Linked DNA regions of Arabidopsis thaliana. The protein of the gene in region 1 purifies or fractionates together with the protein of each later gene. This does not show direct contact. Each region holds a gene or a part of one and is shown on either strand. Other genes may lie near its edges. The genes, in order: MAG2, AT5G24350 and AT2G42700.

What was found.
Region 2: the proteins of MAG2 (region 1) and AT5G24350 purify together in Arabidopsis thaliana (affinity purification with mass spectrometry, with the first as the bait; one study listed by BioGRID). This does not show direct contact.
Region 3: the proteins of MAG2 (region 1) and AT2G42700 purify together in Arabidopsis thaliana (affinity purification with mass spectrometry, with the first as the bait; one study listed by BioGRID). This does not show direct contact.

Annotation. Positions count from the first base shown.
Region 1 is NC_003074.8:17,585,080-17,588,833, forward strand, and holds the start of MAG2 (RINT-1 / TIP-1 family), read right to left. Parts: upstream 1,629-3,754; 5' UTR 1,500-1,628; coding exon 1,205-1,499; intron 1,058-1,204; coding exon 956-1,057; intron 770-955; coding exon 669-769; intron 584-668; coding exon 1-583. UniProt on the Arabidopsis thaliana protein: Functions in the anterograde transport of storage protein precursors from the endoplasmic reticulum (ER) to the Golgi complex and in the retrograde transport from the Golgi complex to the ER.
Region 2 is NC_003076.8:8,299,081-8,302,834, forward strand, and holds the start of AT5G24350 (neuroblastoma-amplified sequence protein), read left to right. Parts: upstream 1-2,024; 5' UTR 2,025-2,230; intron 2,231-2,410; exon of another isoform or gene 2,411-2,425; 5' UTR 2,426-2,456; coding exon 2,457-2,543; intron 2,544-2,619; coding exon 2,620-2,671; intron 2,672-2,820; coding exon 2,821-2,994; intron 2,995-3,358; coding exon 3,359-3,557; intron 3,558-3,751; coding exon 3,752-3,754. Other genes in the region: AT5G24340 (3'-5' exonuclease domain-containing protein), read left to right, coding at 8-143, 472-768. UniProt on the Arabidopsis thaliana protein: Required for proper maturation of seed storage proteins. Forms a complex with MAG2, ZW10/MIP1 and MIP3 on the endoplasmic reticulum that may be responsible for efficient transport of seed storage proteins.
Region 3 is NC_003071.7:17,776,639-17,780,392, reverse strand, and holds the start of AT2G42700 (vesicle docking protein), read right to left. Parts: upstream 2,120-3,754; 5' UTR 1,930-2,119; coding exon 1,882-1,929; intron 1,720-1,881; exon of another isoform or gene 1,668-1,719; coding exon 1,524-1,667; intron 1,311-1,523; coding exon 1,161-1,310; intron 869-1,160; coding exon 425-868; intron 258-424; coding exon 1-257. Other genes in the region: AT2G42690 (alpha/beta-Hydrolases superfamily protein), read left to right, coding at 2,711-3,727. UniProt on the Arabidopsis thaliana protein: Required for proper maturation of seed storage proteins. Forms a complex with MAG2, ZW10/MIP1 and MIP2 on the endoplasmic reticulum that may be responsible for efficient transport of seed storage proteins.

The DNA.
Region 1 (3,754 bases):
CTCGGCAACTGTACCCAGCTAGTTTTGCTTCATCCACAAGCGGTTGTAACAACTCATCCATAGAATCGACATAGTCCCTTGTGATTTTATACACAAGGGCAAAAATGAATTCTGGCTTTTCACTCCACTTTGTAAAATGTCGCTGAGATGCAACTGTCAGAGGGTTGACCAGCTCTTCAATAGCCCAGAGTGGCTGGTGGAAAAGAACATTTTCTCCCTTATGGATCCCAAGCTGCCGCGACTTTCTTTGCAACTGTAACCCCTGCAGGCTACACAAGGCATGAAAACTTCCACAGTATTGACTTTTGAGGCTCCCTTCCATGTTGAAAAGCGGATTTTGAACATTTTCTGACTTTGAATCAAGACTTGCCGAAGTTAGTGTAGAAAGCTGAGGTGGCCATCGAAGAGAAGAAAGCAACGCTCTGTAATCAGCAATTGCCTGAGGTCTCATCATAGCTAAAGCTCTATCAACTCTATGATCAACAGCAGAAACAAGACGTGCCCACCGAGGATGTCTCTTTGCTACTGAACTCAGTATCTCTTCTGTCGTTTTAAGTGTTTTAATAGCATGTAGACGCACTTCCTGAAATCAGTAAAAACTTAGAACATTGAACCACACACACTGGCTAAAACTACGGAACAGTCTAAGCTGAAGACAGTGTGCTTACTTCAAAACCACTTGACCGAGATGTTCTTAAGTTTTTATTCAAAGAAGACATCACAGCATCCTCAATATCACCAACTAAAGTGTCAAGTTTTAGTGCAGTCTCTGAAACATAGAGAAAGATCTTAAAATGTTGAATACCACAGTGACCAAACTAAGAAAGAAGGTTGGTAACTCCAACTTTGGGACTAACTAATCCCGATCAACATCGATAACACCAAATCATAAAATAGAGCTAGTCTTTATCAGAAAGCAGCCATCAAATACAAAACGCCTTAACACCAAACATACCAGCATAAGCACGCACAGACTCAACTTGTGCTACTTCCTTTGCTAATGAAGGAAGATCCTCTCCGGCTACATGCTCCGTCGCCTCCTCCTCCTTTCCGCTATCTGAATGAATTAAACAATTATCAAATTCTCAAATTATAACGGGAATATATTCAATCTTCCATCACCAGGACTGAATTTACATATTTGACTACAACATTTCAAGAACATAATCTACATCCAGAAGAATCGTGATGAAATCATACGAACCTGACGCGGAGCGAGTAACGGAGGTAGAAGAAGAGAGATCAGCCAATTTGGCATTAACCTCGAAAAATAGACCACCGACGCGATCGGAAAACGAAGCGTAAGCAGCGAGACCTGACTCGAGCTGGCGATTTAATCCGGCCAATCTCTGATCCAATTCGGAAATCTCCGTCTGTAACTCGGAAACCAGACCCGTAGAATGAGAGAGATCCGTGGATTCTTTGAATCTGCCATCGAGAAAGCTAAATACCGAAGCGGAGAAGCTCGAGACCTGTGGAAGTGGTTTGATCGCCTCCATTTGCGATTCGTCGTGGCCTCAGTTTCATCAAGAACAATGAAAAATTGAAATTTCGTTGGAAGAAGATACTGAGTCAATGACTCGGAGTGTTAACGAGTTGCGAGTTTTGGTAACTCGGATTAATGGGCCCTGGTTAAGCCCACAAAAATGTTTTTAACATATCAAGTAAATTAAAACTGTAATGGCATTCTCAAAGAAATGACATTCTTTTATCGGAAAATTATCACTAAAATCTCCAACTTTTATTTGAAAACATTTGTTTAAATTCTCAACATCCAACGAAACGAAATAAATATCAAATTTATGTTGATTTTTCTAATAAATATCAAACTTATGTGACTTTCTTAATAAATACAAAATATTTGCTAATGGTCATATTAGACATGATGTTAAGTAGATTAACAGATTCCGTTAACAAAATTAATTTTTTATTAACATACCCGTTAATTCAAAACATTATTGCTTTCTATAACAACAAAACGTTATTGTTTTCTATAACAACAAAGCGAAAAAAAAACAAAAAAAAAACAAAGTGACGTCGAGCAAAATCTCCAAATTCAATCAATCATGGATCCCCAAATCGAGCAAAATCTTTAACCTTAAATTCCTATATGACTTGAAATTAAAAATTTAATTGACCCGTTATGACAAAAAGACGATGTTTTATTCTTAGAGAGAACGTTGTCATTTTCAATTAACGAGTCTATTAAGAGAAAATGAACTTTGATAGCAGGATTTGTTATCCCACTTAACGGTATGTCTAATATGGCTATATCAACAAAATTTTATTATTTATTTGGAAAGTCAATAAAAGTTTGGTATTTTACAGTATTTGAAAAATCGACAGAAATTTGATATTTATTTTGTTTCGTGGAAAATTGAGGATTTAAATTAACGTTTTAAACAATTTGAGGATTTTGATGACATTGTTTCCATTCTTTTAAGCCAAATTAGGATAATTAATCAATGGAATCGCACCAGCAAACTCAGGATTAGTATTTTGCATGCATTTCATATAAAACCGAGAGTGTGATGTACACGCGCATGTATATTTAAGTACATATGATTCCTAAAATAAACAATAAATTTCGAGTTGTCTAAGGAAATGTGTAGTATTGAGTCTCGTACATATTTGTATATATAAATCATCTTACACAATAACATAGAAGCGAATCATTGAGACAGAAACCATATGGCAAAGAGATCTCCGTAATCTTTCTTGGAATTCTATCGTACTAAAATCTAATAAAGTTCTATCAATATTTTAAAGACTCCTTCAACTTGGGTTTCTTCACACTTTCAAAAACAATATTTCATGTGTTTTCTTTTTGTGTACAACCTCTAAACTTGGTTGGATATAAAAAACACACAACATCGAAAATTGGTTGGGTGTTAGTGTGGGCTAAAAATTCTAATTTCCCAAGGATTCTTAGTTTGTGTATTTCTAATGTCCTTTGTATTTCTTATAATTTTGTTTGGCACGGATCATCTCTGTTTTAGGTTCTCTACTTTTTGTAATACATAATCTTAATCATCTAATGATATTATTTGGAATGAAAAAAGTGGAGCAATGACATTTAGCAAGAAACAAGTTTCTGTTAAAAAAAAAAAAAGTTTCTGTTTACATTTGAAAAATTTCAGAACTGATTATTACAATGAGAAGTAGACTTGAGAACTTGTAATCAATTGAGTGTGTATACCGTACGCTAAAAATTAATATTATATTAGAAAAGTTAAACCAAAGAAATAAAAACTAAATTAAAAGAGAGTACACATCGTGATTCTTCGCTGTATATTCCAAAAACTCATGTGCCCCGACGAGAGCTGAGATCCAAGCTGACCACGCAATAGTACCGTATATTGATTAGTTAATCACAATTCACAAATATTATTATTTGGATATTTTTGGGTTACATTTTATAGTTTCTTTTAATCCTCGGATTTTTAATTACGGATTATAAAAAACCAAAACAATACCTTAAGTTAGTAGTTTGAAAGTACACATATACATATTTAATCACACAAGTTGAGACGACCAAAAAATTTAATTTAATCACATAGTTTGCAAGATGTGCTTGTTTTGATCTGTCAAAAGAGGAATTGTCTCTAATTTATTTCCAAAATTATGAACACTCATATACGGATGTAATGTACATGTATAACTTTTATTTATTGTTTCACCTTATCAAAAAAAAAAAAAAACAATTTTAATAATTGTTACACAAATGATTAAACATATTTTATCGGGTAATGAT
Region 2 (3,754 bases), on another chromosome or scaffold:
ATGCCAGGGAGTTGCTTGATCAAGCATTCAAAGAGAACAGAGTTCTATTAACAAGAGATACAAAATTGTTGAGACACCAGGATTTGGCAAAGCATCAAATATATCGAGTAAAGAGTCTTCTTAAAAATGAGCAGCTACTTGAGGTACAAACAAAGTTAATTTTCAACGTATAAGCTGTTATGCAAGATCTGTGATGTGGCATGATTTGGTTTACTAGATTTATTAATCAAAAAGGACACATACCCTGGAAATTTTGCTTTAAAGAATAGGATCTCTCAAGACACTAGTTAACAAATTTATTTTTAACCTTACTTTCTGGGTGGAACATTTTCTACACTACCTGTAATTATGGCATGCTTGGATTCACCGAGCCAAAATAACCTCGTCCACTCACTGTGCAACCACTTTTCTTACATTCAGTAGAATGATTACGGATTTTTTGTGAATTACTGAAACAAATAAGCTTCGCAGGTGATAGAGACTTTCCAGCTAAAGATCAGCGGAAATCAGCTGATGTCCAGATGTACGAAGTGCAATGGGAAATTTATTCAGAAACCTCTAAGCATTGAAGAAGCTATTGAAGCAGCAAAGGGTTTCCAAAGAATACCCAACTGCTTATTTAACAAAAATTTAGAGTTTTGGCAGTGCATGAACTGCCATCAACTATACTGGGAGGTAAGTCACCTACCCCATCTTTTGCCGTTGTGCATTATAGTTCTTGAACGAGTATACCTTGTGTCAAAAAATCATCTGGTCCATCTATGTTAGTTGTTTTGCTGATTGAACAGTCAAATTTTAGTTGCCTAACGATATTTATCAAATCAGTGATCCAATTAATATTTGTATGAAGTCTTAGTTGGTGAATTGAATCTTGATTTCTTTAAAACATCTTCATGTGTTCATGTCTTAGAGCAGAAATCATCTCCACAAGATTCATAACTTCCTATATAGCTCTGATCTGTTCTGTCTCTAATAGTCAGTGTCCGACATATTTAATGTTTGTTATGTGGTTTCAGGGAACTCAGTATCATAACGCAGTCCAGAAGTTCATGGAAGTATGCAAGTTGAGTGAGTGATTCACTTTTTTTTTTTTTTTTTGGGTTTTTACAATTTTGGTGAAGTGTTCAATCTCTCGTTACCTCAGTTCCTCAAATGTTTTTATTTTATATCAAACGTCTCTAAGCAAACAAGATGTGTTTGTAACTTGTGTCGTTTGCACACATGTGTTCCAGAGGTTATTAACCGTGTACAAATGTTTTAGTTTGTTTTACAAAGTTGAACACATTACTATCTTATGAGAAGAATAGACTTGTAGTATTTTCTATTTACCAGTTAAATTCTTGCATAATTTTCAAAGTGGAATATTATTTTCAATATGCTTTCTTGAGATGATGGCTTTTCTAGCCGTAGATTCATGCATTTTAAATATGATGATATACCAAATTTAGGTATTGTGGATTGGATTGGTCTAGTTCATTAGTTAGGCAAAAAATTTAACCTCATCAAATCAACATTACCTCTCTTCCTAATTTTCTCCATTGAATTCTTGTTCAACCATTTTTTTTCTTTCACTAGCAAATACGGTGATGAACTCGAAAATGATATCTTTGCGACAGATGAATTAACCGGTATAATTGGAAAGCGTTTCTTGAGCATCAGTGTTCCTACTTGAGGAAGAGTTGTCTTGTAGACCTAAACAAGAGATCAATTGCCCCAACACGAAACTATGTAGATCAAATAAGTATTTAGTTCACTCTTCTTTGCTCACTTCAAATATGTTTTAGACTTATTAGAAAATCCGGTGAGTCAGATATTCGACGGGCACATTCACATCGGAATTAATAGTTTCATAGGGTGTTGTCTCTTAAATTTGGACCGACCGGTTGGATTGCCTATCTGCCGTATAAAGAAAATAAGACAAGAGAACATTAATTTCATGGTTGAACCGGACGGTTCTTGGCTAAATTGAACCGAACCGATTGATTTCAGAAGGTATGTATAACTTTTTTTACGGAGTCGTCATCACTTTCTCTGCTCGTCGGCGAAGTTCACATTCACCGGTCGTATAGTGTCTTCGTCTCCTTCCTCGTGAAATTTGTTCATCACAGTCTCTACAGTCACCACCATAGGAGGTCGTACCGCCGGATCTTCGCCACACCATTAATTTCTGCGTTCTCTCTTCTCAATTCGCCGCCGATCTCTCTGAGCGTAATTACCAAATCGTGCTTAGGTATGTCATCAAATCTTGTCTCACACCTTCCAATTCATCTCCATGCACTAATTCATTAAGTAATTAGTCAAGGGTTTAATTCAAACTTTATGGTTAAATCGACGAGAGTGCTGATGTTTTGGGGTTAGGGTGTGAAGAAAATTATATTGATTCTCTCTCTCTCTCTCTCCTGCTAATTAGATCTCCTTCTCCTAGAAACTGCTGTGAGGATCGATCTCGATTGATCATGGAAAGTCCTGGAAGAAAAGTTTTGTATGAGATACGTCATCATGCTTCATTGCCTTATGTTCCTAGATATCCTCCTCTTCCTCAGGTACAAGATTCATCATTGCTTATACAATTTAGTGTTTTACTTATATCTTACGCTTTGATCCGCTGTCCAAGTTTAGGCAGATGGAACTAATTCGAAAGGAGGACTTCGGTCACTTGTTTCCATCAAAGGTCAGTCGCAGATGGTTAACTCAGAGATCTGTGATTTTTGAATCTTTGGTTTTATGAGCTTGTAGGAATCATGTTTGTGTACATCTCTTTTCATTAAATTAGCAGTATAGCTCATTGGTTCTTCATCTCTGTGCTCTTATGGTATTAAGGTGTTAGTCAACTCAAGGAAAAGTGGAGTGAATACTGGAATCCGAAAAAAACTAATAAGCCGGTGTCGTTATTTATTTCACCAAGAGGAGAACTTGTGGCTGTCACTTCTGGAAATCACGTTACTATCTTGCGAAAGGATGATGATTACAGGAAACCTTGTGGCAATTTTACATGTAAGAAATTCTGGCATATCTTCCCTTGCTTTCACAAATGTTTGCCTGATTATGTTTTTCGGGGTCATTGCCATAGCACACTCAATAAACGAATTTGTAGAATATTGCATTTATCTTGTCAAAAACTATCTACTTGATTTACTCTGATAACAAACGCCTATAAAACTTGCATTTGCTTCTTTTTCTCTCTAAGTTTAGTATGTGGAATCACCGTTTTGTGAAACCTTAGACTGTACCAGTCATTTATTCTGTTCATTAAAAAAATATGCTCTCCTCACAATACCGTTTTCCTTCTTTCTGTTTCTTAACTTATGGTCCTTTGATGTCTATGCTATGGTCCTCTAACTTCTGTATTCTGCATCAGCCAGCATATCAGGTTCATTTACTTCTGGAGTATGGTCCGAAAAACATGATGTTCTTGGTCTTGTGGATGATAGTGAGACCCTCTTTTTCATCAGAGCTAATGGCGAAGAAATAAGTCAGGTCACAAAAAGAAACTTGAAGGTTTCTGCACCAGTATTAGGATTAATGGAGGACGACTCTGATTTGCAACCATCATGCTTGTACGTTTCCTTCTGTTCATATTTCTTATTGATTAAGACTTACAGAGTACTTTGTTCAAAAAAAAAAACAGACTAAAGGAGTACTCTGGGATCCTAATGTGTCCTTGACCATTACAGTATACTTGTTTGCTTAAGGTCTACGGCTGATATGAAATTTTGACTGGTGGTCTGTGCTAATGATAATTTGCCTGCAGGTG
Region 3 (3,754 bases), on another chromosome or scaffold:
TTGATGCTTGGGACCCCTTGTTTAAGCTGTGCTTGTGAAGAAAATCTTTCTGCCCGAGGCAAAGATGAAAAGATACGATCGAAAAGTGAATCCCCGTGACAGCAGGGAGTGATAAGATCAAGTGTGCGGTCAACAAGTAACAAGCCAGCAGATCGCTTACGACGCGCTACATCATAAACACTTGACATGTCTGTTAGAATCTTCCCAACATTCTTCGATTGGTCACCAAGTGAAAATATTTCCAACTTCAACTCCATCTACAATTTTAAAAAAGTGACGACATGGTCACAAATTTAAGAAAAACGTACAGAAGAAATTAAATTATTGACAAACAAGGGAAACAGATATCTTCTAGTGTTCTAGCTCACGTACTTCATGAACATCGTGAATTAAGTTCAAAGCGGTTACTGCAGTGTTAGTTTACCTTAAGGGCCAGCTGGTAAAGAAAATGTGCGGTAAGAGTTGCACCAGGAGGAACATCATCAGTGTCAGACATAGATCCAGTACTTATGGGAGGCAAACCAAAACTAAGAGAATCCTCATGTTGACGGGACAAGGACGCTTCTGCGACTGATCCTTGGGAAGGTAAGACAAACGCTCGAGGAGTGAAAGGACAAATAATCAAGGGGAAGTGGTGAACTGAGACAACCAAACCTTGTGCACCACCTGATGAAATATCTACATTTTCGCTTTCAATAGGCTCCATAGTAAGGGATTCAAGTGCAGAAGAGAACTTAGAAACCCCTTTGTCTTTAGATATTTTGTCGCTTTTCTTAGTATGTTCATTGTAATCCTGAACAAGTAAGGTTTCATACTCTCGATACGCGTCTGGACCTAGAGGTGAATCAGGGATAGCTGAGTGAGACCCCTGTACAACGTTCAGATTAATATTCAATGACGCAAGAAAAGAAACAAATATTCTGAAGAGTCTCTTATAGATGGAAAATTATTTTGAAGAAGGCATAGAGAAGCAGAACTGCTAAATTAAGTTAGAGAATACATTACAATCACTTTGAATTTGATTATATAACGATCACTAGTGTTGATAAGTCAAATAGCTTGTGATTGTTCTAGAAAATAAAAAAGCCAATATATATATCCAGAGAAAAAAAAGAGATTAAATAAAGAATGAGACCAAGGATAACGTTAAAGAAGAGCACCTCTGAAATAGATGTGAATACGGTGCAGCGCTGAACACCTTCATGGGTGCTTAGACACCGTAGCATATACCGATGAGCATCATTGAGAAGTCGAGATGTCATAATCACAATTCTCTTGGCACAATCAGACTTTGAATTCCAATCAGCCACCTAGAGCACAAGGCATCAAAAGTCACATCATATAAATTAAATCAGAAGATTTCTCACTTTCTAGGTAAAAAGATCCCCTTCATACCAAAAGTATGAGGATAACAATCTTCCTGTTCTTTATCTAGATCCTCAATTACCAACACTAACCGTTGATTGATAGGATATTCCTTAGCCAACATTGTGCAGGAAAAAAAGAAACGGTAACAAGCTTACCGCATCTAAGGAAGTCATGTTTTCAAGACTGCAGACAGCTCGAGCACCTAGTTCCAAGAACAAAGGGAAAGCTCCTACAAATTGAAAACTTTCTGTGCAGCCAGCATCGATATACACAATCGCATCTTTTACATCCTCTTCTATCTACAAAACAAAACATTTCCAAAATATCTAAACCTTACTTGTTCAGGATTACAGTAAGGTACTTTTACATTTCCCAAGAACACACAAAAACGAGCAAAACGAGATCATGGAGAAATCGTAATGATTCAGGTGCAGCAGATCAAAACGTGTAACAAGATGAGACCAGATGAAAAAAAAAAAAAAAAAAAAAAAAAAGAGAATTCGGATTTCTTACTTCGCGGATCGAATTGAGACAAGATATCGCGACATCGATCAGAGCCATTGCTCTCAGCTACGAGAATTGGATACAATTGGTCGAGCTAGAGTGAAATCGCCAGTTAGAATCAAATTACTATGAGATGTGTTGTCTGAAATCAGACTGATGCCTGAACCACCGGAGAAACACTGCTTTCGCTTCGCCGGGAAATCTCACCGACGACGAACATGATAGCTTAACTTGATATCGTTCGTCGTATGATCGTCACTTTGTTGGGCTTTTTTACACTTTTTGGGCTTTGAATTATCTTTGATTTATTATGGCCCATCATATATTAGTTAACGGGTCTAGGATGCAATGTTATCAAAGGGGGATATATTGGAGATGAAAGTGATTAACTGAAACATAACATTGGTTAACAAATCATTTGCACTATTGAAGGATGGGTGTTGGTGGGGTCGCGAAAAACAAAGGCATGCTCAAGACCGAGGCTGGTGATTGGGTCATGGCCATTCCGGACGACGAAGACAAGCCTGTCGTCGCGTTTGATTAGTTGCAAACAAACAATAAGTCTCTTTTCGTGTGTATCGATTGATTTGGTTGAATTTTCTTCTCTCTATTTGATTGGGTTTATTTTTACTCTTTTTTGTATGGTTGAGAATGATGTGCAAGTTTGTGGATAATTCTATATGCCAATAATATTCCCACACCAGTGATAACCTTTTATCGCTTTGGACATAAGTGGGTCAGACAGCATCATCACCAGTCCACAACCATTTGTATAAAGTTAAACAACTTAAGAGTCAAGAGTCACTTATTATCTCCTTACACACACCATTTCTCTCTAATGGCTACAACAACCACATCATGGGAAGAACTCTTAGGCTCAAAGAATTGGGACACTATCTTAGACCCATTAGACCAATCACTTAGGGAACTCATCTTACGTTGTGGCGACTTTTGTCAAGCCACCTACGATGCCTTCGTCAACGACCAAAACTCCAAGTACTGTGGAGCCAGCCGCTACGGCAAATCTTCTTTCTTCGACAAGGTCATGCTCGAAAACGCTTCCGACTACGAGGTTGTAAACTTCCTCTACGCCACAGCTCGTGTTTCTCTCCCCGAAGGTTTGCTTCTCCAATCACAATCAAGAGATTCTTGGGACCGTGAGTCTAACTGGTTTGGCTACATTGCTGTCACGTCTGATGAACGGTCTAAGGCTTTAGGACGCCGTGAGATCTATATAGCTTTGAGAGGAACGAGCAGGAACTATGAGTGGGTCAATGTTTTGGGTGCTAGGCCAACTTCAGCTGACCCCTTGCTGCACGGACCCGAGCAGGATGGTTCTGGTGGTGTAGTTGAAGGTACGACTTTTGATAGTGACAGTGAAGATGAAGAAGGGTGTAAGGTGATGCTCGGGTGGCTCACAATCTATACTTCTAATCACCCCGAATCGAAATTCACTAAGCTGAGTCTACGGTCACAGTTGTTAGCCAAGATCAAGGAGCTTCTGTTGAAGTATAAGGACGAGAAACCGAGCATTGTGTTGACTGGACATAGCTTGGGAGCTACAGAGGCTGTTCTGGCCGCCTATGATATAGCTGAGAACGGTTCCAGTGATGATGTTCCGGTCACTGCTATAGTCTTTGGTTGTCCACAGGTAGGAAACAAGGAGTTCAGAGACGAAGTAATGAGTCACAAGAACTTAAAGATCCTCCATGTAAGGAACACGATTGATCTCTTAACTCGATACCCAGGGGGACTTTTAGGGTATGTGGACATAGGAATAAACTTTGTGATCGATACAAAGAAGTCACCGTTCCTAAGCGATTCAAGGAATCCAGGGGATTGGCATAATCTTCAGGTAAGAATCTGTGAGAAGAATCTTTCA